Oryzias latipes: one gene and its partners. The protein of the gene in region 5 purifies or fractionates together with the protein of the main gene of each other region. This does not show direct contact. Links are inferred from orthologs where the notes say so. Each region holds a gene or a part of one and is shown on either strand. Other genes may lie near its edges.

Region 1 (4,092 bases), on a different chromosome or scaffold from region 5:
AGTGTTTTTCATAAAGAATGCAAGAAAAACTTTTGAAAGTAGCTCCGCCCACACATGGTGGGAGCGTCAGATTTATAAAACACTTTCAGGCAAACGTCCAACAGTGACTTTGACGCGAGTTAAAACAGAAGCAGAGGAAGCAAATTTGATGCATGAATCGCGTTTGGTGTGAACGGACAATTGATTGAAATGAACTGTGGCTAGTGATCCGTATTGGACAGTAGCTTCCTGTGGGATCCGGTGTTAGACCTTGTAAAAAGTGAAAAAAATAATGAAGCTAGGAGATTTGAATCTACCCAACACCACCGCTTTTCACTACATCTCCCATGATGCATTGGATAATTGAGACGCCGTCTCTTTCTGTGCTGCTGTTAACTGCCATGAAGCGCAACTAATGCAAACATCTGTTTTTAAAAGCTTGTAAATCTTCCTGATGAAATCAGACAAAAACTGTTTATTTCTCCTTCAAGGTTTGTGCTGAAGAAAAAAATCATTAAGAGTCAAAGATTCCAGTGTTTGGTCAAAGTCTTCTTTCTAAAGGAAACAGCTGCTTTCTAATGTCTTTGAAGGACAAATTCTGTTTCAGACTTCAGTCACTTCTGAAAAATTGAAAGTTGAGTTTAAATAAAACTAATAACAACATAAAGAAACCGATTTAAGGTGAAGTGACCAACAGACCAATTTAATCTAAAAAGAAACTTATTCACCCAAAATTGATTCAATTTTTTTTGTTAAAGTTACATTTTTGATTTAGACAAAAGCAAAACAAATAAACCTTCAGCATGTTCATGAATATAATGTTGATCTCTTTTGTGTAAAATGTGTCACTCGTGTTGTGATTATTATATTTGTTCAAAAACTACAGTTGCACTCATGACAACAAAGACATTTTTTTAAATCACTGTTCTAAAAGATTATACTTTTGTTTTTTATTTTTGGGTTACATATAATTTAAACTGGAGGGAAAAACAAATACCTGGGTAAAGTTATAACTAGTTACGTTGAAAATTATTTAAACCTATTGCGACTTTTAGGAAAAACAGCTGCAACTTCCAGCTTTTTGTGCTTCAATTGTTACAAAAAACGCATGTGAGATCGTGGAGGGACTGTACATCAATACAGACTACAGAGTTTCTCTTTTTTACATTTTTGGGCGCTGGTTTTCCTTGTGGTTTTTGACAAGGAAAATCTGGAGCTTGGCTAAAAAAGAAATGGTTGAAAAACATCATTCTAAATAAAAATTCCAAATTTGAATGCAAGCTTTGCAAAAAAATGTTACATTAAAATTCCAAATCTGTCACATTATATCAACATCTTCAAAGCAGTAAACCCACAAATATGAGATAAGAGTTGTGAAAAAAGGGAGCATAACTTTGAATTCTGAAACTTCAAGGTGTCATACAAAAAAACATCAATACGTCATGGCTAATATAAGGTCAAACCATGTTATACACTGACCAATACCGTGAATAAAGATCCTGCTTTTTCCTAAATAAACTTATAACATGACAGCTTTCTGAGTAACAAAAATTTGAAAAGAAAGATACGACACTTAAGTTAAAGCATGAACTTATTTTCATGAATTCAGTTTAAGTTTGATGAATTTAGTCTTACTTTTGAGTTACTTAACTAGTGTCAAGTCCATAAGTCTAGTTTAAAATGGCCGATAAGATAAATATCAACTAAAAGAACATTTTTTAAAAGAGTTTGGTGTAATAATAGATGACCGTTAGCCATCAAAAATCCTCGCGCGGAGCTAGCTTGGTGGGAACTTGTCGTAGCAAAAGTTAGCTGGAGTAGCTAGCGTCCGGCGCTAGCCTAGCTAGCCTGGTCACGAAAACTTCAACCTTATAGAAGATTTTAAAAAAGGAATATTAACACGGTGATAGCTGTGCAAAGGCAACATATTAAAACTTACTCCATCTAGATCGTGTTAAAACAGAATGCTAGAACGAAAGTCAAATAATTTGGTACCTTGCTAACCTCCATGCTACGCTAAGAAGTCTGTCCCAGTCACGAAAATCAAAACAAACGCTTTTTTCCTTAGACTGGCTCCTGCTTTGGAGCATCGGTAACTTCAGCACGCAGAGGAGGGGCACATAAAGTCTAAATCACCGCTGTTCCTTCTATGAAATCAACTTTATCAGCTGGTGGCTAAAGGCACTCTCCGTGGTTTAACACGCCTATTTTTCGCTGTTTATTTTGGGCCTAACCCAGGCTCAGGAGCCCTGGCCGCTTTCCTGCTCTGGAGACCCGCGGACAGTGACAGCATCTTCGGCTCCGTTAGCCCACCGTACAGCCGTTCCCATGTATTGTTTCGCCACAGTGGTCTATTTCTACGTATTTACCCCCCTCCTCCCTACCTGGCGCACTGCAGTCAGCGCAGACTTCTGTCCTTTGTAGCTTTCTTGACATCTCGAAAGAGGCTGCGGAGATCGAGAGGTGGATGCCTCCGCCGATGTTGGGTATTCTCCCCCCTGAGCGAGCGAGCGACCGACGTCTGCCGTCAACCGCAGCGGCCCCGGAATCCCCGGAAGCCGGGTGGTGTGTTCGGCTTTCCCGGCCAGCTGAGGACTGATTTTTCTTTTTTTTTTGTCTCTCCGCTCAATAGTCTCCTCGGCCACGTTCCCTCCGGAGGAGCAGATCTAGATTAAAGTTGTGCATGAATCTGCACACACGCAGCGCGTGCCACGGGACCGCTTCATTAAAATCCGGTCCCTGCGTTGCCATCAAGTCGCCGAGAGACGGCGGCTCTCTACCTGCCAGTCTGCGCGCGCGCACACACCCTTCAGCCCCGCAGCCCACCTACCGAGAACCGGGGCGGGTCGAACGACAATTCAGTAGGAAGAAAACAACAAAAAGTTGACCGGAAGAGTGTGTTATGTTTGATTTAAATAAAAAAAAACAATAATTTCACGAGAGAAGGCTAATTTTTTAGATATGAGGCTAAATAAATATCAAACAAAAAATACGGATGTTATTTTCTACCTTTTTTAATTTTATTTTTAACTGTTGTGTTTTTCTGTATTTCCAGTCTGAATGTGTTCCTGCTCGTATATCTACTTGATGTCTTCTTTACATCAATTAAAAAATGTGTTTGGTCACAGCTACTAATTCGTTAAAGTCCAGTAGTTGTTTTTTTTCCAGCATTGTTGCTGCTGTTTGGGATCACGTGATTTGTTGTAATAATTACAAATATTATTATTATTTATTTATTTCATGGGACATGTTTAATCTCAGGTTTAATCTCCCCATCCCTGACTGCGGATTGGCTGATTGCGCGCACATTTCATTGCATCTTGTCAGCGCATCTTTCTCAGTCACCACCCGATGGGAGGAGGAAGAGGAGGAGGGTGGATGTGTTGGAGTAGGAAGAGGAGAAAGACAGAAAAGCTTTTGGGTGGAGGAAGGGATGGTGGAGGAAGAAAGACAGACAGACAGAAAGGTGTAGCTTCATTCTCCGAAACAATCAAAGGGGGGAGGAGGAGGGGGGGGGGGGGTGTTTGGATGCACTTTATCCTGAACGGAGGGGCAGAGTGGCTCATTTACGCGGCAGCCTAACACACGCCTTTGGGCATCACCGCCGGGTGAAGGATGCGAGGATCGATCAAATAGAGCAAATTGACGACCAAAGTATTCGTCCAAAGCCCAAAGTGAAGAGCGGGGACGTGGCAAACTATGATACGAGGATGATTTCTGCAAAGAAAACTCCGGAGGAGAGTCGGTATCCTATCCACTATCTGGTGTGGCACAATAAGCACCGTCAGCTGGAGAAGGAGCTGGAAACGAGCAAGCAGGTGAGGCAAAGACGTGCACCTATGGGGGGGGAATCTGTTCTGTTTTTTATATTTTTTATTCCTGGTGGCTGTCATGGGTGTGTGAGTCTCCAAATGATGTGGATCATGGTGCCAGACGCATGGAGATTCCCCTCCATCAACAACCTGGACAATGATACCGCAGTTCAATCGGACTGGACTCATTTATTCATTCATTGAAGTATTCCAAAAATAAATGACATGCCCAGCTAATATACATTGTGAAGCTGTTTGAAGCTGCTATCCTGCTAGCAGTTTCATGCTGCATGGGGAGTTT
Region 2 (4,134 bases), on a different chromosome or scaffold from region 5:
GGACATAACATAAGAAAACAGAGATGGTATCATTGAGCATGATCGCACGCTAAAATAGCTTTCATACTCCTTCAAAATACTAATGACAGAAATGGTTTAAATTGCATTTAATTTTGCTCTGCTTTTGTGGCCAAAAGCCCACAAAATCCCTGTTTTTTTTTCCTAATGGAATTTGTTCATTCCATCTTCTTCCTCTTTCCCTTCCCACTCTAACTATCAAGCTTTTTTTTTTAATTTCAAAATCAATCCAAAGGGGCTTTAGTCCTCCACATTAATGAATAATTTGCAATTTTTAATCAGATTGCATCCGGTACATTTGGAGCACAGTTGTAAACTCTTTTTCAGATCATAAAAAAATGATGATTGTAAATCCTAATCACAAGCACAAATGTTTTCATTTTAAAAATCACAAGAAAAAGTGTTTAAATAAGGTTTTAAGTCAACATTTTACTGACAAGCAAGCTTTTAGCTTAAGAACAAAGGTTTTTATGTTATATTCAGCAATAGGTTGTATTGGATAATGTTGTAAAATGCTTTGAAGTAAGCTTCATATTTAATTACATATCTATGACTGAGTTTTAAACATCCCTATACACTTTTGATTTAGGCACAACATTTTCAAAGTGGCATATCATTGATCACACCGTAATGGAAGTTGATGTGAGAGAAAACGCTTTTATTTTCTCAGGGAACTTTGAAACATCTGTGAAATATTAATCCAATAATAATTATATCATATAAGGCCAAACTAAGCACAAACTTGTCATCCAGGTTAATTTATCTGCAGGAAAATGCATTTGCAATTGAATTTGCATTTAAAAAGGTAAATTTAAGGTTAAAAAGTTTGGTAAAATACCTTTGGATCAGATTTTGAAGCTGCATAGATTTGATTTTCTGCTCAGGTTGCATGGATTGTTTTGCCAGCTTTTTAATCAATGACAAAGATGTCAAATCCCCTAAATTTTCTGCCAAAGATTTTGCTGAAGCTAGTGCACGCAAGACAAAGTCTTCTAAAATATAAACTGATTAAAAAACATGAGCCTATTGAATGCAGACATTAATATCTAGAATTTGTGATTGCCAATAGGAAGTGGAAAAAAGCAAATGATTGTCCTTCAGTATTTTTTGTCTCTGAATTTTTACCTTAAAAATGAGTGGGGTTGTGATCTTACCGTGCCAATCAAAAACATTCATCGGCTGATTCACATGGCGCGGTAAGTCCTTCTTTCCCCCCTTAATAAAGGCTGGAAGACTGGGTCTCCTTTGGTCCCCGACAAACTTTCCCGGCTGCTGCCCCATAAGGGCAGGGTGCCAGGCTGCAGCCGGGACTATCCAAGTCGGACGGAGTCGGTTAGAAAGCTTGCTGAGCGGCAATGGCGGGATCTGGAGAAGACAGGAGCCTCTTTCCGGGCTCACACTGTCTTCTCCTGGAGTATTGGTGATGCAGGCCTCCTGCACAAGTCTGTGTTACTCCAGTAGGGTTCAGTTTTTTTATGCATTCAGACGACATATGAGGGACCTAACAGGAATCTGCAGAAACGTAAACAACAGTAATCAGCATTCAAAGTTATCTGATCAAACTTTTTTTAAATAAAGAAATGACAAATAAGCTTGTAAAAAAATGTCTTTTAAGCAATACGCCAACAAACTTTCAATTTTGGGAGTTGTTTTAAGACTATTTCTGTTCTGTAAAAAGTATTAGACCTGACCACATGTTAAATAATAACATGAAATGCATTTTATAATAATCTAGATTAAAAAAATAATTTTAGAGCCTGACCAATCAGATCAAAAGATTAAATTAATTATAATTTAGAATAAGTGTCTTTTTAATGTTAAAACTGCTCAAAAATGTCTTGTTCTGTAGAAGTTGAGAGTTAAATTGAAAGTATTTCCTCAAGTTTGTTAGGTTTAGGGTTCGAACAACTACTTTTCTAAATTGTTTAACGTCAATCACAGCCTCAAAATAATAGTGTTGGGTTAGTCTCGGTTTAGTTACAGCTTCACATAACTAACTACAAATACTGAAAATACATTTGCTTATCAGTACTAAAGAAAAGCGACACCTTATGTTGTTTATCTCGACTATCTTAGTCTTAATCTTTCGAGCACAATAATGTAAACTAGTGTCATACGTGGTTTAATTAACTATAAACAACTTTGTGACAACGACATCTTTGTTTTTGACTCTAATAAAACTGTACAGTTAAAAAATAAAACGTTGATAAGTGTTTAAATGTGAGGTAAACTTACATGAAAACATTGACACTGTTGGTTAGCTCCAGCTAATGTTGACGATAGCCATAAGCTAACCAAACTTCTGCTGGTGGTAAGCAGCGCCAGACCCCTATGCACGCCGGACAGTCAACGGTTGGTTTCTGCTGGTAACCGCAGTCAAGTCCACTTCATTATCTCACCAAAACATGTCCCGTGACCGCAGTTTCACACTCTGTAACCAAAAATCAAAGCACTTGTTGGTGTGTTTCAAACTTCCGCGTCCACTCTTCCCGTTTTGTGGAGCGTCTCCCCCCGCGTCTCTAAAGCCACTTGTAGGCGAAGTTGAGGGAACTCTGAGGGCCAGACGACTCTGTCTCCTAGATTTTCTCCCGAATTCCCAGCCGCCGTGCCCTTTACTAGCGAGCTCTATGCTTGCGTGCTTATTCATCACTTTCACGTGAAAACCTGAGCAGTAAACTTTGGCCGAGTTCCAGTTCTGTCGCTGGAACCGCCATACTTCCATACGTAAGGTGGTTTACAGAAATATGTGGGTGGGGCTACGTGTGACGTCACGAGCTCAGCGTGGGCTAGCACCATGAGGGAAGCGCAAAAAAAAAAAAAAAAAACCATGAGGGAAGCGCACGTTTTTGATATGTTTCTGCTACGTTTGTTACTTGCTGTGGTTGAATAAGTTTGGAATGATGACAATAGTTGTTGATGCTGATCTATTTTATTCCTTGATGTTATGTTTTGTAAATTTAATGTTATGATCAATAAAGTTTGGAAAAAAAATGAGGGAAGCGCACGAGTTTGGATTCTGCTGGAGGAGCAGGAAGGGAAACAGAAGGGGAAAAGCCATCCCAGCAGGGATAAATCGAATTCTTTTTTTAGCTTTCTTCATTTAAAAGAATACAAGGTTGGTTAGAAAAAACATTCAGGAATAACAAAGGTGATTGCACACTTTTATATAAATAAAGTCACTTTTTATTAACCTGTCTTAGAGTAGAACATTTTTTTTAGTTATCAAACAACTATGAGAAAAAAAATTAAATCCTGCATATAAAACTAACAATTAATGAATTTTCAAAAATTAGTACATAAAAAGGGAAATGTAGGCCATGTTCCAACTAATAAATATTTTATGTAGCAAATTGAATTTCATTTTTTTATTGTTTAAAATAAAAAACATTTCTTGAGAGCTAATGATTCAGACTGTTATGAAAAAAAAGTATTTAAGTTAGTAGAAGCATGAAGCACCAAAATGCTGCTAAACATTTAACAATATTTAATTTAACATTTAATGAAGAGTGAAATAATCAGATTTATTTTAAGATCTAACATTAACCCTGAAGACCCATTTTCCTTCAAACGAAAATTATTTTGAATATACAAAAATCCAAGTGGACCAAAGAACACACTTTTGATGATTTTGTTACAATTATGTCCACCATGGGTTCTTATAGGTTAATTGATTCAATGTACTCATTGTTTTTTATCAATACAGACCACGATGAGAACTATACAGAAATGACTGAAATTTTATTTTATACAAAACCATCACAATGTAATGTCACACCGAGCATTTACAAATGTGGACAACATTTTAATTTTCATTCAGGTTATATGCATTATTAATGTTTGATATCAAATAAAGAATGTGATCTCTGAGCACCTCACTTTGATTCATAGAAGACAACTAAACTTAATTTTTGGATAAGTGGATGGTGGCCCCGTTGTTGGATGTGGTTTTAGCATTAGCCTTTTATCCTTCCTGTTCCAGCAGCTTCTGTTGGGTCAACATGACAATCTCTTCCATCACCTCGGGTTTTAAGATGTCCTTGACCTACAGGCAGGGAAAAGGGAAATCTTTAAAACAGGTTGTTATCGTTTTGTAAAAGTCCAGAAACATTTATAGTT
Region 3 (3,500 bases), on a different chromosome or scaffold from region 5:
TGTTTGGTAAGGGAGGGGGGCCCCCTCCTGGAGAGTCCTGCCTTGATGGCTGACCTGGGCGGCCCCTCGGAAGATCAGGAGGACTGCTACGGGGAACAGAAGGAGCACCTGGGAGTTTAGGAGGGCCAGAGGGGCTACCGCCTCCACCATAGGAACTGGGGCCGCCAGGGCGAGCCCCTGGGGGGAGAATAGGTCCACGACTGGGTCCTGAATCTGAGAAAAACATGAAAACAGGAAGAAATGAAGATGCATCCTGAGAGACGATCAACATCCAGGATTTGAGTCACTTTTACCATTAGACTCTCTGTTTGCTGCAGACCTCAGTTTTGGCATCCCCCCTGCAAAAAGGCCCCCTAAACCCCCAGGTGACCCCCCACCAAAACCTCCTCCTCCACAGCCTCCGCCTCCTCCTCCTCCTCCTCCTCCGCCTCCACCACCACCTCCTCCTTTGGGTTCTACCAAAGAAGAAAAGATACAGAAACAGTCCGTTTAGTTTTTTCTTTTTACTTTAGGATAATCAGATTTTCTTAATTGATGAGAAAGATCCTCACAGTACGTTCAAGTTACACCTTTACGTTTTAGAACATGTGTTTGTTTAGTGAAACTGAAGGAAGGTTTATTCCTTGTGCTATCCTAGGCACTTTAACATTGGGAGTTGGGTCATCTACTGTAGACCAGTGGTCCCCAACCACCGGGCCGGGCCGCGGGAAATTTTGGCACCGGGACGCACAGAAATAAAAAATAATTTCCATTTTATTGTTTTTTTTCGAAAAAAACGTTTTATTTTGAAAAGTGACCAGATTCTCTCTGTTACATCCGTCACCCTTAACGCACGTCTAAGTCGCGACACAAAACATCACGTGATACACCCCGCTAAAGTTAAACCCAAACAACCAAAATGAGCAAAAAACAAACTTCTTTAGAAAGTTGCTTTGACAAGGGGAAACGGTCCAATGAAGGGACAGAAGAGGAACCTGCACCCGCTAAAAAAGGGAAATCTGCCTTTAACAGGCAGCAGTCCGCGGTGAACAAAAGGTTGGGGACCACTGATCTAGACCCACTAGACAGTGCTCAGAACCTTTTTTCTTCAATGATTTGTGATCTTCACTGGTGTCCATGGATTACATGAAATCTTTCCACCTTTATCCACCTTTGTCATGGTAGGGAGAACACCTCAATGTAAGGGGGGGGGTCATCTAAAATAGCACAAGGGTTAAAAGGTTTAATATGTGTTTGTATTCAGTGATTAGGGTGAGCACATTGTGGATCATGTGTAAAATAGCTGAAGATAATAAGCTAACTATCCTAACAAGCTAACCATAAAATGACATAGAGATACTAAAAACAATTTTTCATTTTTATCTTTGCATTCGTGCAAAGATAAAAATTCATTCAAGTACAAAGATTCATTAACTAGCCAGGCTTGTTTCTGAACTTAGTCTCCTGTTACCTGAACAAAACCAGCTCCTCTAACAGGATTCTTTGTTTTGTCATCGTACTTTTACTTACAAGCACATGAATGCTGGTGAGGTATAATTTACTTTTGCTGTTGTGATAGATCATACTGTGGTTTTAAGTGTAGCATATTTAATTTTATTTGTTTGAAATAAAGCCTTCTTCTCCATGTATTGTGGGATTTTCTGGTTCTACCCAGGAGCAAATAACTTACTCTCAAATACGGGCCCGCTGCGGTCATTTGTTACAGCTTTCTTTAACCGGGCGCCTTTGCATATGTCAGACAGAAGAGCGCCCCTTCCCTGCTGCTCTGAGCGGTTCAGCGCTGGCTTCTCTGTGTTCGCCTGAAATGAGATCCAAACACGTCAAGAAAGAAAAAATGAATGATCAATTTGAATAAAGATGATTTTATCTTATTCCTTTAATTATTTCACCCAGAAATGATATAAGAGATACCTACTCTAAAAGTATGGGTGCATTCTTTGAGAAAGTTCAATCATTTTAAAAGGAAATTCAAAAAGTGGAATAATTGCAAACAGATTAAAATATTTCAAGTCTGTATCTTGTAACCTTTCTGTTAATACCGTACACATAAGTTATACAATTTTGTGTCTTTTAATGAAAACATATGTTTTCAGTAAAGGGCTTCTGATAACTATGTTGATGTTTTTGCACTCTGGACTTGAGTGGAACTCTTCATTCATGGATACTCTGCAGCATGGAGGCCACAAGCCAGTGGAGCTGTGTAGGTCTAATGGAGCTTTAGGTTGCCTTTTATTTTCATAACAGATTTTCTGTCAGGTTCAGGTCAGGTGAGTTTTCCGGCACTAGCACAGTAACATTGTGATTATGGTACCATCTTTTGGTTCCTTTGGCAGAGTGGGCAGGGTACAAGTCCTGCTGGAAAATAAAAATCAGCATCTCCTTAGTTTGCCAGCGGAGGGCAGCATGAACTCGTCCAGTTTCCTGTTGGATGTTTGCTATGACTGTGAACTTCAAGATAACACAGTGAACCAACACTAGCAGATGACCAACCATGACTGATGGAAACTTTTCACTAAACTTCAAGCCACATGAAATCTGTGTCTCTCCACTCCTCTCTCCACTCCTCCACTGAGACTTTATTTTCCGAATGAAATCAAAAACTTGTTTTCTTTTCCTTCTTTAGCCCAGGTAAGACGCTTGTTATGTTTCTGGTTCAGGAGGTGTTTGACGTGAGGAATCCAACATCTGTAACCCATTCTTTGACACACCAACTTCGTCCTCAGTCCATCCTTGAGATGCCCCGCTAAATTCTTGACTAGATTTTGGTCAGCAGTCCTCCCAAAGCTGCAGTACTCTCTGTTGCATGGCAGTTTTTCCTTCCACACAAGTTTTTTGTTGATACGCTTGAATACAGCACTCTGTGAACAACCGGCTTTTGTGGTTTGTCCTCCATGAGAACAAACGTCTTCTGGACGTCTGTCAGGTCAACAGTCTTTCTTGTGATTGCCCACACTGAGACCATCAAAGGCTCAAGAAACCTTTGCAGATGTTTGGAGTATATTAGCTGAATGTGGGAGTTTCCATCAATGAATTGTTTTAAAACACTTTTAATTTTTTCAAAAATAACGACAGTTTGGGTTTTCATTACCTGTCAGCCACAATCATCCAAAAGCTTGACTGACGACTTTGACTTTACGATGTTCAAATATTATCACATGTTCCTTTATTTCGACAGGAGATCAGGTTCATTGACATGATTGATCCGCTAGATGTCTCTGGTAGGCGGACAGGGGTCAAACAGACTTACAAGATTGAAGGTCGGAGGAGGGGGAGGCCCCGGGGGCGGTGGGGGCGGGGGGGCTGGCATGGCTTCGCTTTACTCTATCACCACTGGCTGCCGCACCCTGGAGGAAACACAACAGTGGTTAAAACAAAGCGTGGTTATCGGTATTTATGGTTCTCACTGACTGAGAAGTTCTAAATAACACGAAAGATCAACTAAAAAACAGAAATCTACCAGTTTGTCTCCAGTGATTTACGCTCAGAATAGCAGAAATTCT
Region 4 (3,500 bases), on a different chromosome or scaffold from region 5:
CTTCATGATTTAACTACAGAAATACCTCAGAAATGTAATTTTAAGCTTAATTTTCTTTATTTGTGACCGCCATCATGAGAAAAAAAGCCACAAGAACGTGTTAAAACATCAAAAACAGATTTTAAACAGAGTGGGACTTTAAAGACTTCCTGTCTGTTCATTTTTTTTCATGTACATTCAGGTTGACCTGAACCTGTATTTTGTACAACAACAAGAGTGGAGCTGTTTCTGATGTAGAAGACCTCTTAAATGGACTCTTTCATTGTTTATACTGAATAACTGCACTCAGGCTGGATAAAAAAATAATTTAACTAGTAGATAAAAGGTTTTGACAAAGACTAAAGAAACCTACATTTTGTCATAAATCCAACTTCCTCCCAATATCCACACCTGTCTTATTCTGACTTACCCAGAACCAGGTTGTCTCTGCGCATTTCCCAGGCCAGGTCATAGGGCAGGTGGATGGGATCCACATAGATGTACTCGTGGCCATCCTGACTCACAGATTCAATGACTTTCCATCTGATTTCATAGCGAGGTTTCTGAGGAACATCAAGGAAAAGAATATCATCAAGTTCAATGTTTTTTCTAGTATTGTCTTTAAATTCACTTTTATTTCCACAAAGGTGTTTTCTTACCTTCCTCCATACAGCAATGAGGATGATGATGGACATAATAATGATGACCACTAATGCCAAAACAGCAGCTAATACAGTCACCTGGGAGAAGAGTGCTGCAAAGGACATGGACATGGCATTTTAGGAGAAAACAATAAACCAATATGATTCAAACTCTGCAGACATGAGGCTAAACATTTGTTTTAATACTACTTTACTGAGTTAAAGAAAATAGTAGTAAATAAATGTTTGTGATAGTACACGGTAGTTTGTACCAAATTCTACAAACAATAACTTAATATTAGCATGTCTTCTATTTAACATCAAATGACGCAATAAATTATTTAGCTTTTTTTTTGTAAAGACAACTACAGAATAACATTTTATGGACAACATTTTAACAATAACAGACTATCAAAATTGCGTTGAGGTCTCACTGTAATGAAAAATACACCATTCTGAGTGGTTGTCAGAACACCTACTGCTAGACACCAGTTTGATGTCTCTCCGGTCGGTGAGTCCGGCTTGGTTGGTGGTCTCACAGCGAACTGTGACCTGCTGGGGCTTGAGGAAGGTCACTTGGCTGCGCACTCGACTCAGTTTTCGTGCCTGGCTGTAGCTCACATTGGTCTGGATGCTCAGCTCCTCTGAATGTGGGACCAGCGGCTGCCATGCTGATGTTTGGTTACTACACCTGCAGCAGAACACTGGATCAGCACTCAAATCACAACATCTGCAGCAGAGGAGAGCAAAGCTAAAGCTGATGCTCTGAATGTTGAATAAATGTGTGTGTTTAGTCAGCCCTCTAGTGTTGACACTGCAGCATCTCAGGAAGGAGGGGTGGCACTCACTTCAGCATGCTGTCACAGCTGTACCACTGTATGGTCGGAGTTGGGACCCCCTCTGCGGTGCAGGTCACCAAGTGTCTGTTCGCTGGCAGGTGGTGATCAGACAGATCTTTAATCTGAGAGGGAACTAAGACACACCAAGAAAAGTAGAATTAGATAAGCATTGCAGTAGTCAATAAAGGATAGTGAAGTAGACTAGACCCAGGAAATACATTTATACAAATTGTTTTTGCCAACTTTAAATCAGTTCATTTGTAAAGTGACAATTATCAATGGCGGCCTAAAGGGGCCAAATTACAATATATAAAAAAAGGGAAAAGAAAATATCTTGAGTTATCTTTGCTTGTTATAGTCCTAACATGTTTGAATCAGCCCAAATCAGACAAAATTGTTACAACTGGACTTTAGTTTTTATGTTTTAATCTAATATTTCACAACTGAAAAAATTACTAAAAAAAAAAAAAACAAGACAGATGGTTTTTGGACAAGTCTACCTACCATGTACTTCCAGGTCAAAGGCCACTTCCTTTGAGTCATCCCCATTTCTAATGAGGACAGTGTAGAGTCCTTTCTGCTCCATCCTCACCCTCACCAACGTGAGAATGGTGACGTACCTGATGCACAAGAGAATGAAACAGAATCTTAATTATTTTTACCTCCTTCTGATTACATGTAATTGAGCAACAAACATCTTAATAACATGAATTCTCTTTTTCTTAATCTTGTGTTGAAAATCTTGTCTTTTTAACTTTAAAAAAGTCAAATGAAGTTCTGATGGTGTAAATATGTGGTTAATAATTGAAAAGAATGCCAGATCTGTTACTCTGACAAAATCCAATAAGGTTCACTATGATGTTGGGCCATTTACTTGCTGTTTTGAATCTGTCTACTGAGGCCTGTGTTTGATGTTTCAGTTAGATCATTAGTTTTTTAACCTTTATTTTAAAAGTCTTTTCTTGTTTGGCATTTGTCTAGAAGTCCTTTGAGAGTTGTGACAGGCGTTTTGTGTTTATGGTTCATGTGCGTTGAAAGATGGAGTCCGGCCCTATGGAGGGAATTGTGTTTCTCTCTGTGGAGGCTTTGCATGGTGCTGACTGACATAAGCTGCACGCATCTACTGACTGAAAGACTCACAGGTCCTGTGCTAATTGCTTAAACAGAAACAACTCAAAGTGTTGGTCTGTGGATTTGTGGTGAATTTTTGAAACAGCTGATCATTCAAGCTGGACGATCTACCTGATCTCATTCACTTGTCTAATGGTGATGCTTTTGTCTCCTTTGATGGTGGCGCCATCTTTGGCCCACAGAATCTGAGGAGGCGGGTAGGCAGTGATTTCCACTCGCAGTTCGACATTCTCCTGTACTTTGGTGGAAATGTTTTTTGACTGAGCTGGCTTCACATCCACAAAACCTTTTTCTGGTAAGAGAAAAAAAATCTCATCAGCAACACAGCATATTTAGTGCAATCACACGTTAAAACTCACAATAAGAGTATGCATGAGACTTTCTTTGGCTTCTTAGGAGACAATGAATCCACTCTACTCGACCTGAAGTAACAAAAATATATTCATTTAAATTCTTTTGTCTGACCGAATTATGCATATTAAAGGAACTAGCAAAACATTTAGGCCCAGTTGTTTTAACCAGACAAATATTTGAGTTTGGTCTAATGTTTCTGAAGGCGTATATTTTTGAAACTTCATAAACAGACAGAGAAACTACAACATGTTTTGAAATAGTTCAATAAAGTTCATAACGTCTGTATCGATAACTAACATCTTAGGTTCTTCTTTTATCAGACACGGTTGTGTTTTTTTCACAAACCTCTAAGATGTCATATTTGGAAATAATTCAACAGCTTGGCAAATTTAGGGGACCTTCACACATCAATTTGCCATACATTTCTATTTGCTTTCATTTGTCAAACCAAAACTTGCAAGTCAAACAAAAAGTTTTCATCCTGGACAATTTTTATTGTTTGAAAAGTATTTTTGTGGCACTTTTTGTCCAGACAGCTTCCCCACTAAAAACGATT
Region 5 (3,500 bases):
GTTCACAGCGCCCGCTGAAAACCTGTGCCCATCAGAAATGAAAAAAAATAAAAACATGGATCCTAACATGTCAATAAATATAGTTTGGTCACTTGTTGGCGAGAAGGTGTGGATTTTTTAGTGTGCACACAAAAAAATAAGCATTAAAACAGACGAAACAAGAGCTGTGGGCGTGGCTCTGAGGTGCTGAAATCTAAGAAATGAAATAAAAATCACCTTTTTAAAAGACACTGTTAAAAGATAATATGGTATCAACAAATAAAAAATAATAATAAAAAAAGAAAACCTAAATGAAACGAAGTTTGAGAATGAAACATCTGGATAATTTAAAATAGGCGACCCTTTCTCAGGGATTTGTAGTCTTTGTTGTCTCTCCTGCGCTCCTCCCACATGTCCTCTTGGAATGCTCACAAAGCGGCTGCTTGAGTCCTCCTGACGTGTTCAGTCTGAAGTGGGAGGGCTGAAATGTTAGCGTGCGGTCTGCTGGAAGTATCTGCATTATCTACGCTTTTGATTCATACGTAGGAGTGTGAGTTTGTGTGGGAGAGGCGTGATCAGGAGGCAGCCATGGCCTTGATCAGGTACAGTTTGTCTCCCTGCTCACTGGTGAAGATGGGGGCTTTTTTGTAGTGTTCGACAAGCTCTTCCATAGAGTTGAATTTGCGCTGTCCAATGCAGTAAAGGTTGTCCTTCAGCTGCACTTTGAAATGCTTGTTCTTGCTCTGGGCCTTCAAGGAGATGGAGAAGTCGTTTGGCTGAAACGAGAAGGAGACGGAGGTTAGGAGGAGCATTTCACAGCAGCTACAGACCAGACGGAGGTTGGATGAAGACCTGGCGACTGACCGACGACTCGCTGTCTCGGATGAGGAAGTCTCCCTCGATGCCTCTCTGGTTCAGGGCCACCTCCGCCTGGTGGCGCGTCACCTTTCCGTAGTACCACTCTTTCCCCGCGAATCGCCCGCTCACCGACGGAGAGATGTAGTCGCAGTCTGGTGTGGGAGGCCCGGCGAGCCCCGTGGATTTATGGGAGCTGGAGTCCAGCACGGTGACGTAGTTCTTAGGCACCAAGCCCAGCTGTCCGTCTGCTTTCCGGCACTTCCACCACTCCGGGTCGTTCTCCGGTTTCTCCACGACCTCCATCACCTCCCCTTTTTCAAAGTTCAGTTCCTCGTCGTTACCAGAGTTGAAAGGGTAGAGCGCCTGCACCGTGTGCAGCACCCTGTTCCCGTTGGCCGTGCTGCTCACCACGGCCGCAAGCTTCTCCGTCAGCGATGCGGCGGGGTCGCCGAATCCCCCCATGACCCCTCCTCCCGCCGTCCCGTCCACGTCTTCGGTCACGTAGTTGGACGGAAACCAACCGGACCGTCCGCTGTAGCTTCCTCGCCACCAGCCGTCGCTGCACTTCTCCATCACCACCACCCGCGTGCCCTTCACCAGCGAGAGCTCGTCTTCGCGCTCCGCCGTGTAGCTGAACTTGACCAGAGCGGGCACGTTGAGGTCGTACAGACGCTCGCCATTGTCCATGCTGGGGTCGGTCTCGGCGTTGGACGCTGAGTCTCTCATTCCTCCTTTTTTACTCTTCACCTTTCCGATGCCTGCAGGGAAATTAGAAGAAGATTCACAAAAAGAAGACACGATTTATCGACTAAACTACTTCAACCAGGACCCGAGCCTTCTATTGGTGCACGAAGAGGCTCAACGGCAAACACACCGACTATTGTACATCACTGCAGACCCAACCAGGAAAACCAAATCCCAGACAAATACCAGCAGCTAATCAGTATTTGGAGCTGTGCTCAAACACAGGGAGGGTGGGGAAGCAGGGTTAAATATCATTCCTTTCCACATGGCAGTGCCTGAAAGCCCCCCCACACTCTAAATCCAAATACATTCTTGGGGATTAGGTTGGGTGCTGGGGAAACAAAAAAAAACATTATGCTGGTGTTAAAAAGCAAAGTTTTTTTTTAGAAAGTGAGTGGGATGGAGACGTGTTTTGGCCTGAACCTGTGGAAGTGGAAAAATGAACATAGTAATATTTAAGCTCTGGGATTTCTGAGGGGAAAACTGCTTTGTACAAAAAAGGTTTAGTAATAGTTCCTGCCTGCATCCTGGCATCCCATAATCGCCTGCGCTGCTCCAGCACCTGCGGCCTCTTACTCACATCCTTGCTGTTGAAGCTCTATTATGCTTTTTGCTACAAGATTTCTTGTCTGCACTCCTCTTTTGCTAATCAGCCAGTTAAGGGTTTGGATTTCAGTGTGGAATGAGAACGGGTTTTATCAGAAAACTCGCAGCGATTGTTCCCCGACATTCCCGACCACCAGGAATAACCACAGACAAAAGGTCAAGTTTGACCTTTTCGTCCTGCCAACTTCTCGACCCAGCCCTCCGTGACTTCAAAAACGAGAGGACAACAATGCCCTTAGATCCGGGTGCTGGTGTTGGAGAAAATTTCCACCTGGCAGGTTAGGACTTGCGCAAAACAAGTGTAACCGGCAGAAGACGCAATGCTGAGATCATGCCCTCTGCCTGGCGCTCATGGGACCAAATAGAAGCCGTAACATCACAGTCTGCGGCGTCTCCCATTAAGCTGCTGCTGCCATTACAGCCCATGATCTTCCAACCAGGCTGAGGCCGCGAGGAGCCAAACGCTGATACGGTGCAGCGATTTCAAATGAGACCTTTTTTTTTTGTTTTCTTTTTTTCGATGACGTTTGCAAGGCCATTGCTTGCATAATCAAAAGACAGCTGGTTGAAATTATACAGTGAGTTAGGGTGGAGTCTCCAGGGCAGCGCGGGGAGGGATGGTGATTCTTATGCGAGCGGGGAACCACAGATAGACTGGTGCTGAAAGGTGCCTCTGACTCAAGGAGAGCAGACAAATTTCATGGTAGCGCCGAGAGTCCAACGTCAAATTGCTTCCAGGTAGACCCCTGTCATTAGTCCCACCACGGTCCCTAACTACAGGCTGCAGGCTGGGTGTTAAGAGCTGGTGTCTGGGGGTTATGTGTAGCGCAAATGCTAGTTAAGCATCTCTGTGACTCAAAGAGACAGCAGATGCTTTTTTCTTTTACGTTAAAGGAAAATAAGATATTAAAACAAATGGATGACTTCCATTTGATTAGGTTGAAAATGATTTTTTTAAATTGGTTTTAGCTCCAACAGAGTGGGAAGAACGTGACTTTTTTCCATCTATGATCAGGTGTCTGTGATTGGCTGCTTCCTGCTGAAGTCACCCAAACACTTTGCATTAAAAAAGCAAAGCCGCAGCATTTGACTAGATTCTCAATCTGCAGTAGCGCCAGAACGGAAAGTTAGATTTCCCTGTCCAACTACAGGCCGATGATGGGATGATAAGAGCTTGTCACTGGAGGCAAATGCATCTGCTGCGCTTGTGTTAATTGTAAGAACTTGCTTTTTGGTGGGAAGAGCTGCCGGCTGACGCTCCCTTTTTACAGTTTGGTAGATAGTATCTGTTCACGTCAAACGCAGAGGATGGA
Region 6 (4,079 bases), on a different chromosome or scaffold from region 5:
GGTGGTGGCATGATGTGGGAGGACACTTGGAATGAGGCACCCTGTTTTGAGGAGGGTGGAGCCTGCGGAGGGGGTGGGGGTAGGCCCCCTCGGCTTGATGGAGGCGGAGGTGGCAGGCCCCCACGTGGTGGAGGTGGATTTGGAGTCGGGCTCCCCCGCTGGGATTGACCTGGGAGCGGTGGTAGAGGGCCGGAGCGACCTCGAGGGGGCGGAGGGGCTGGAGCGGAAGACCCAGAGCCGGGCAGAGGAGGCAGGGCTCCCTGTCTGCCATGTGGAGGTGGTGGAGGTGCAGCAGCTGGTAGAACATGTGAGTTATGCATTTAGCAGAGGCTCTGAAAATGATCAAACGATCAAACATATGCATCCAACCTGCTCTGTTTGCCTCCTGTTGGACAGCTTCAATTCCCCCGGACTGCTCAATGACATTATAGATGAGCTGGGAGGTCTTCTCGTCCTTGAGGTCAGCTTCACTAATGCCCGCCTGGGAGAACAGCTTCAGCAGATTAGGGTCAATGTTATTGGGGTCCCATCCAACATGCGACACATGCCTGGCAGAGAGGAGAGCAGGAATAAACAGACAGCAACACATGAGTACCTCTAAAGACTCCATTTCTTACGTAAACCCGCTGGGAGCTCCTATGTCTGCCTTGGACAGTTTAGGACCTTTTTTCTTGCTTTTCTTGCTTTTCTTATTATTAATAACTACAGCTGTAGCAGCAGGGGGTGGAGGCATGGTGCGATAACGTGAAGACTGGATGTCTGGGTTTTGGATGTCCACTGTTGCCATGTGAAAGGAACCGTGGTTACCAGCTGCTGCTTTTTAGAAAGAAATTCCAATTAAGACACTATCATATATTTATTTAATTTGAAAAAAAAATATTGAAACCACAATTTGAAATTGAATTTGAAAAAAGACACCTTTGTCAGGAGGAACTGGAGGCAAGGAACCTCGATCTACAACAAAACAGAGGAGAAAAAATGATATTCTGAAATGCAGGAGGAATTTATCCAAAAATAGTGTAAAAAATGTGTATTTACCAGGCGTCGGTAGGGGGCGCTGTTTCTTATCTGTCAACAGGAAAAAAAATTCAGGCCACCAAAAACACTTGAATGAGTGCAAACTGTTTCTTTCAGTATTTTAACAACAAAAAATCTTACCATATAACTTAAAAACACAGAATTTGTAAATATTCAAACATGCATTTACTTTATTTGCCACTTTCCTCTGAGCCCCGGATAAAAACAGAAGTTCAGTTCATCGGAAATGCAAATCAGGCACAAACTTGTCGCGTTCATGATTCTATCTGATAATCCCCACAGAAGAGATGCTGACCTTGACGGTTGTTTCTTTGACTGATTTTCTCCACAACGGCATTTTGGAAAATTTCTGCTTCGCCTTCATCTGAGAAGTTCAGCCCCACTTGACAATCCTTCAATGAGTTTACACAAGCCGATGCATTAAACCACCCCACAAGGTAGAAGATTATGATTTAAGAAGGGCAGATCAACGAGCACTTACATCTGCAGTGAAGGTGTGAAAAAACGTCCGTGGAGTGGAGTAAATGATTTGGTTGTACAGCTCCTGCTCCCAAACCATTTTCTCTGTCTGAGGGAGCAAATGATGGATGTGTCAGTTAGTGACCCTAGTGCTCAGCAGGCCTTGAAAAGGGGAACCTGGTTATCACGACTGGATCTTCAGAGCACAGTGAGCCTCTGACTGACCTTCATGTCAAACATTCGGATGAAGTAGGAGCGCTGAGGGTTGTCTTTGACAAAGCAAACCACCCCGGTGTGCTGCATACTCCACATGGTTGGACTGTGAGGGAGAGCCATGAACAGCTGAGCCACTGCAGTGGCCATGGACTAAACACACAAATAAGGGACCGATTAAAAACTGTTCACAGCCGATAAGACTCCCAAGAGCATTTCATTGCAGTCCTCATGTAAATTTCCAGTTGCGTGACGATTATCTTCCTCCTCATCGTTAGTTAGGTTCAATGGCATTCTTTATTTTCCACTGCAAACGATGAAACACTTTACATTGAGAGCATGTTCAAATGTTAAGCTTTCATTGAGAATATTTACTTTTGCAGCTAACAAACACAAAGCAACATCTTCCACACTGTGAGACTCAACCCAACATGGTTTCTAATTCTGACGGCAGGGGAAGAATCGTTTTAGCTACCATTTCCTGTAAGGGCCACCCTCTTTTTCACAACTCAATGCTAGAATATAATTCAAACAAAAAAAGGAATTTTATTTTAGAGAAATATACATGTACTCTTGCTAGTGTTTACTTTTTTTTCCGAGGAATTATCTAAAATAAAAGAAAAGATCAGTGGAGGTAAAATTAAAAAAAGTATTCTCAAAAGCCTCAGTGCTGAGCTGCAACTATGCTCTTAAATTTAGGATGTGATGTTTAATCATCCTTGAAATAGCAGATAGAAGTGATATGGACATTTTTTGAGTGTCAGCTATAAAAGGTCTTAGGCCTTAACCCCTCATTTTCACAGATGAGACAGAGTGTATTAGGTCATTTCAGAACTTACTGAACATCTTCTTCCCAGCAGCTCCTCCAGCTTCTCATTCTCTTGTTGGCTCAACAGAGAGCTTCGGTTGCTCTCAGTCTTACTTTTAGATCCACGGCTCATGATGCCTCTTAAAAAAGATCCACTTTATCTGAAATCTGCATGTATCTTGTTTAAAAAAAAGCAGCCCTGCAGTCGCTAAGAGAATGGCCTCTTCGGTTAACTTTGCAATCAAGGAAGTTTCTCTTCTCTGTTTTGAACGCAGCTCAAAGCAGGAAATGAACAACCGCACTTCTCTAACCCCCACTTTTCTTCTTCGCTTGGGCATAAATGAACGTGCTATACTTCCATTTTCATAGAGGCGGCGAAATGTTGCTCTTCCACTGATGTGCATATTCAAATTTAATAAAGCAAACACACATTCTGGGTGCATTTAATATCAGAAGGAGAAAACACCAGCGACAAAACACAGATGTACAAATGACACTTATTTTATTGACAGATAACAACATTCACATTAATTTAAAAATGCACATCCTGCATAAAACAGTTAAAAGATACCATTTGACGGACAAAACAAAACTTCCTTTATTGTACATAAAATTGAAAAAGGGCAGTTCCTCAACATTTTCCAGGACTGCAAAATCTGTCTAATACTGGATTTATGTCAATCTTGAGTTTAACTGGCTTTGTCAAGCATTTTAATAAAAAATACATTTTATTTTTGTAAAGTGACAAAATTCCTTTTTTTTGGCTTGACGCTTGTAAGTAACAAAAAGAATCCCTGTTTAAACTCACTGTATGTGTGTTTATGATGGTCAGTAACTGTTGACTTTGAAGAAATGGCAGTAAAGCCCCAACAACTGTGGGACTTTAAGTTCGATGATAATTATGGTTTTTACGTCAGTCGGATAAAGTACCCATTAAAAATACTAAATAAATATTTTCTCTTTTGATTGATTAAAATCAATTTTGTTCCCAAGTGCTTTTAAGCTGATCAAGTAAGGTCCGATAAAGCTCTCAAACCAAAGGAAAATGGAAAAGGATCAGGTTTTGTGTTGTTTAACAAGAAGCAAAAGCAGTTGCATATACTGACTGTATTCAGATGGGTGTCCTGTAAAAACTGGAATAGCAGGGAAGTGCAATATAGGGATTACTGTGACTGAACTATTCCAAGAAACAGAACACATCAGCATTCTATAAATGGCATTTCCATTGCTGTCATGTTGTTCCCATTCATCCTTTTGCTGCCATTTTACTAGTGACTTCAACAGCACGGCGGTTCTGAGTTGTGGCAGGTTGTGCAGCACACGTTATTTTGAACGCTGCCTTTCGGCCTCCACTACATAACTTGATGTTGGTGGAGGTTTTCACTTTTTTTATTTTTTCAAAACCTTTTAGTTTGAGTTTGGACGGAAACTCAACAGAAGTGTTTCAGGTACACAGGACGAGCTTTGGTTGGCATTCTGACTGTAGTACCTCCGCTCTGTCATGACCAGTGTACAGCTAGTGTCCACCTTTTATCGGCTGTCCCGTCACCCAGTCAAAGAT
Region 7 (3,500 bases), on a different chromosome or scaffold from region 5:
CAACACAAGACGGAAACAAACGCCGGGGTAACGTGGAAATGAGACCGGCTTCTGCCGATGCTAAGCAGAGATTCGTCTGCCTGAAAACTGAAACGTTCAGCCAGTTGAAGCAGAGACATGCAAAGAAATGAAGGTTTCTACGCAAAAGTCCAGTTTCAGAAACGCAGCAGCTCAGCTTACGGCTAAAATCCAACACTGAGTCTTTGGTTTCAAATCAATTTTCTTTGGTTTAACTTTGTCCTCATTTCAGAAACTATTTGTTTCTGTTTTTTTTACTGTAAATAGTCTTCAAGAGATGCAATAATGTTAATGAGTGAACAAATCAATATTTTTGTCTACTGAGATAAAAAATTCAGATTTTGTTTGTTCGTTTAGGGGGAATTTGTTGACATTTCAGTCTCAGGGTCAAAACGACTCGGTGGCGGTTCATCTCCTGAGCTTCATGGCGTGTCGGCCTGGAGACTCGTGGAAGAGCGTTCCTGGTAATCAGGAAACAAAGCGCCGTTTTGCATACGAGCAGGAGGTGGTTTGCTTATCTTTGAACAGCCGCCTGCATCACAGAAAAATCCTAAACAAACTAGTTCCACTGAAGAACAGCAGCAGCCATTTTCACACAGATTCGCCTTTGATGAAGTCGTGGGAAAAACGGAAGAATCCATTCCTGCTTTCCGTGTCCCCAACGCCACGTGGACGGAGGGATGGAGGCGGGACTCACCTGTGTTTGGTCTAGAAGAGGAGGAGCTGGAGTGACCGTTGCGGATGGGTGGAGGAGGAGGGGGCGGCCCCGCTGGCGTTCTGGTAGATGGTGGAGCTGAGGAGGAGACGGGGGGAGGAGGCTTCCCCACCCGGATCTGGGGCTCTGAGCCTCCAGAGCTGTGGCCACGATACGGAGGCGGGGGAGGAGGGGCATCACGACCGCCGTTCCGAGAGCTGGGAGGGGGGGCCGGGGGGACTGTGACCAGGAAAAAAGAAAAAAGTTCAGGATTAGAATCTGAAGAGTGGAAGAACACTTTCTCTGAGAGGGGAACCGGACCGCTGAAAGGCTCGCTTTGGTTTTCTGGGACAGGAGCTGCGACCAATGCTTTTTTAAAAAGGAGGTGTAAGCTCCTCCCCAGTGGAACAGCCTCCATCAGGACCAGAGACCTGATGAAACTAAAGACACATCAATCACTTATTCATAGCTGATTCATTCTGGACGAATTTATGTCATTGTATTTTACTTTCTTTGAAAACGCCAAGGGGGAGGAGCTTAAGTATCTGGGTTTGGAAGGATACTGACAGTTTGGTAGAGTCAGTTTAATCCTTGGGGGGTTTATATTTTAATAATTGTTGTCACATATTTACTGTTGTATTCGTGTATAAATTGGTGCTGCTGGCAGATTTTGTTTCTTTGACTTAAAAAGTATTTTATTTATCAAAAGGAAATAATAATTGTAATTCAGAATTTTTCTGCTGTAAATTCTTAATAAAAATAAAAAAGGGATCATTCTAGAAACGGATAATTAATGTTCTGGTAATAAAAAGCAACGTCCCAATTTAACACTGAGAAGTGGCAGATGACACGACGTCTGTCAACAGAAGAAAAATACTTTAATCTGAATTAGAAAACGTCTTTTGGGATTTATTCAATCTTAGGGGGTCTGTTAGACATAAAAGTGATGTCAATACAGATCAAGTCAGTCTGACTGTGTGTGAGAACTGGACTGGGTGGCCCCGCCCCCCTGGCGTTCCAAACAGGAAGTAGCCGCTAAAATCTCGTAGACGTCTATTGAGAACCAAACAGCTGTTACTCGGTTTTGTTGGTCAGAAGAACCATTCAGGGTCTGACCCCTTTAAAATCATCTCTATTATTCCCCTTTTTCGTGATTCTTTTCTGTAGTTCAAGTTATTTAAATCATAAACTGGCCAATCAGATGCTCCAGTAAACGTAGGCGGAACTTTCAAAGCGACTGACAGATTTTCTGTAGTCTGCCATCAAGTAGAAGGGGCGTGGCCTTCCAGCAAGCTGGTAACAGTGGTCACCATAGAAACTCAGACCGGCTCGGACCAATCACTGCTTACTGATGTCATCAGACTCAAACATGGTGACTGAATTGACTTAATTTGGTTTGAGGAGAAAGTAAACAATTTTCTATGGATGACGTCACACTCAGTCCAGCTCTCTGATACAGTCAATGGTTGTGACTCATAACCTAATCCTGTTTCCAGAGATCAGGAAAAACAAACAAATAAATCCACTAAACTGAACCGTTTCCAGGGTTCAAACTTTGATTTTACAAAACCAGCTGATCAGCAGCTGCAGTTTGATGTCAGCTGGAGGCAGAATGAGAGAAGAGGAAAGCTGGAATATTCCAGAAAACTTCAGGAATGCAGAGGAACCTGGAGAATCGTTTGTTGGCCCATTACACGCAGGCAACACGTCAGTTCCAGTTTGGCGAGTTTGGAGTTACAAACGTTTCCACGCCGGATGGAACTGAGGCCGCGTTTCTACGACAACCTGGAGGCAAAGAGTCCCTCGACAAATGTGAATAACAGAGGAAATCAGATGGTTGTTGTCTGGATGTGTGTGTGTGTGTGTGGGGGGGGGGTCATGTGATGAAGATGCTATATATGCAGCTAAATGTAAGAAAACTGTTGATCTCTTCAAAAATCCAGACGTCAGAAACCGCTCGACTGCCAGCTGTAGCATCTGTGTGCGTGTGTGTGTGTGTGTGTGTGTGTGTGCGTGTGTGAGACCACGTTCATACCTGCTCTGCGTCCAGGTGGTTCTCTGGCGGGCGGCGGTGGCCGGCTGCCCTGCTGGGAGGATGGAGAAGGAGGGGGCGGTGGGGCTTGACTCCGCCCCCCTGATGAGTGCTTCTTACGCAGCGAGTTGTGTCTCCGCGGGAGCTCAGGGGCCCCCCCTCCATCCACGTCGGAGGGCCCGTTGGAGACCCCACCTGACAGGTGAGGTCTGTAAGGGGGAGGAGGGGGAGGAGCGTGAGAGCCGCTGGGCTGCGGTCTGCTCGAGGACGACGGGGGCCTCGCCGTACTTGACGGCGCGGGAGCTCTTTGCGGCGTTGGTGGGAGGGGTTTCTCTCTTGAAGCAGGCGCTTGCGGAGCGTTGCCGCGGTTTCCTCTGTTGAAGGGGGGAGGGGGCGGCGGGGCAGATGTGCTGTGCTTCATCCCGCCGGAGGAGCTGCTGTTGTGGGAGTGGGAGATGTCTGGCAGGGAGGGGCGGTGCGACCGCTGGGGCTCCGACGAAGAGGGCCTGTTGGGCGGGGTGGGGGAGCTGGAGCGACCCGTGGGGGGGCGAGGAGCAGCAGGCCGGGATCCCGGCGGCTTGAGGGCGGATCTGCCGAGGGAACCAACAACCGGACCGTCTGGGAGGAGGAGAGAGGCGGAGAATCATGCAGACATCAAACACAGAGAGGCGGAGCTTCCAGTGGGCTGAACGTGGGTTTTTGAACACATGTAGTGTTCGTACGGGACTACTCGTTGGTAGAGCATGGACCTACAGT

What was found.
Region 1: the proteins of nck1 (region 5) and git1 purify together in Homo sapiens (affinity purification with mass spectrometry; 4 studies listed by BioGRID and IntAct, with this or other methods). This does not show direct contact. The link is inferred for Oryzias latipes from reciprocal best matches to the Homo sapiens genes NCK1 and GIT1.
Region 2: the proteins of nck1 (region 5) and abl1 purify together in Homo sapiens (affinity purification with western blotting; 3 studies listed by BioGRID). This does not show direct contact. The link is inferred for Oryzias latipes from reciprocal best matches to the Homo sapiens genes NCK1 and ABL1.
Region 3: the proteins of nck1 (region 5) and wipf1 purify together in Homo sapiens (co-immunoprecipitation; 5 studies listed by BioGRID and IntAct, with this or other methods). This does not show direct contact. The link is inferred for Oryzias latipes from reciprocal best matches to the Homo sapiens genes NCK1 and WIPF1.
Region 4: the proteins of nck1 (region 5) and pdgfrb purify together in Homo sapiens (affinity purification with western blotting; 3 studies listed by BioGRID and IntAct, with this or other methods). This does not show direct contact. The link is inferred for Oryzias latipes from reciprocal best matches to the Homo sapiens genes NCK1 and PDGFRB.
Region 6: the proteins of nck1 (region 5) and was purify together in Homo sapiens (affinity purification with western blotting; 4 studies listed by BioGRID and IntAct, with this or other methods). This does not show direct contact. The link is inferred for Oryzias latipes from reciprocal best matches to the Homo sapiens genes NCK1 and WAS.
Region 7: the proteins of nck1 (region 5) and wipf2 purify together in Homo sapiens (co-immunoprecipitation; 3 studies listed by BioGRID and IntAct, with this or other methods). This does not show direct contact. The link is inferred for Oryzias latipes from reciprocal best matches to the Homo sapiens genes NCK1 and WIPF2.

The regions. Positions count from the first base shown.
Region 1 is NC_019871.2:27,419,039-27,423,130, forward strand, and holds the start of git1 (ARF GTPase-activating protein GIT1), read right to left. Parts: upstream 2,801-4,092; 5' UTR 2,416-2,800; coding exon 2,364-2,415; intron 1-2,363. Other genes in the region: ankrd13b (ankyrin repeat domain-containing protein 13B), read left to right, coding at 3,690-3,797. UniProt on the Homo sapiens protein: GTPase-activating protein for ADP ribosylation factor family members, including ARF1.
Region 2 is NC_019870.2:12,824,770-12,828,903, forward strand, and holds the start of abl1 (tyrosine-protein kinase ABL1), read right to left. Parts: upstream 2,801-4,134; 5' UTR 2,254-2,800; intron 1,531-2,253; 5' UTR 1,300-1,530; coding exon 1,173-1,299; intron 1-1,172. Other genes in the region: exosc2 (exosome complex component RRP4), read right to left, coding at 3,980-4,060. UniProt on the Homo sapiens protein: Non-receptor tyrosine-protein kinase that plays a role in many key processes linked to cell growth and survival such as cytoskeleton remodeling in response to extracellular stimuli, cell motility and adhesion, receptor endocytosis, autophagy, DNA damage response and apoptosis.
Region 3 is NC_019873.2:4,931,173-4,934,672, reverse strand, and holds part of wipf1 (WAS/WASL-interacting protein family member 1), read right to left. Parts: intron 3,345-3,500; 5' UTR 3,308-3,344; coding exon 3,248-3,307; intron 1,800-3,247; coding exon 1,670-1,799; intron 456-1,669; coding exon 294-455; intron 214-293; coding exon 1-213. UniProt on the Homo sapiens protein: Plays a role in the reorganization of the actin cytoskeleton. Contributes with NCK1 and GRB2 in the recruitment and activation of WASL.
Region 4 is NC_019868.2:16,271,139-16,274,638, reverse strand, and holds part of pdgfrb (platelet-derived growth factor receptor beta), read right to left. Parts: intron 2,883-3,500; coding exon 2,702-2,882; intron 2,080-2,701; coding exon 1,964-2,079; intron 1,593-1,963; coding exon 1,469-1,592; intron 1,312-1,468; coding exon 1,100-1,311; intron 734-1,099; coding exon 639-733; intron 543-638; coding exon 410-542; intron 1-409. UniProt on the Homo sapiens protein: Tyrosine-protein kinase that acts as a cell-surface receptor for homodimeric PDGFB and PDGFD and for heterodimers formed by PDGFA and PDGFB, and plays an essential role in the regulation of embryonic development, cell proliferation, survival, differentiation, chemotaxis and migration.
Region 5 is NC_019878.2:18,420,978-18,424,477, reverse strand, and holds part of nck1 (cytoplasmic protein NCK1), read right to left. Parts: intron 1,596-3,500; coding exon 832-1,595; intron 756-831; coding exon 555-755; 3' UTR 1-554. UniProt on the Homo sapiens protein: Adapter protein which associates with tyrosine-phosphorylated growth factor receptors, such as KDR and PDGFRB, or their cellular substrates. Maintains low levels of EIF2S1 phosphorylation by promoting its dephosphorylation by PP1.
Region 6 is NC_019865.2:21,090,542-21,094,620, reverse strand, and holds the start of was (wiskott-Aldrich syndrome protein), read right to left. Parts: upstream 2,801-4,079; 5' UTR 2,652-2,800; coding exon 2,550-2,651; intron 1,864-2,549; coding exon 1,723-1,863; intron 1,607-1,722; coding exon 1,520-1,606; intron 1,431-1,519; coding exon 1,334-1,430; intron 1,069-1,333; coding exon 1,039-1,068; intron 955-1,038; coding exon 919-954; intron 817-918; coding exon 618-816; intron 549-617; coding exon 370-548; intron 296-369; coding exon 1-295. Other genes in the region: sodium-coupled neutral amino acid transporter 3-like, read right to left, coding at 4,035-4,079. UniProt on the Homo sapiens protein: Effector protein for Rho-type GTPases that regulates actin filament reorganization via its interaction with the Arp2/3 complex. Important for efficient actin polymerization. Possible regulator of lymphocyte and platelet function.
Region 7 is NC_019859.2:1,935,332-1,938,831, reverse strand, and holds part of wipf2 (WAS/WASL-interacting protein family member 2), read right to left. Parts: intron 3,363-3,500; coding exon 2,748-3,362; intron 953-2,747; coding exon 716-952; intron 1-715. UniProt on the Homo sapiens protein: Plays an active role in the formation of cell surface protrusions downstream of activated PDGFB receptors. Plays an important role in actin-microspike formation through cooperation with WASL.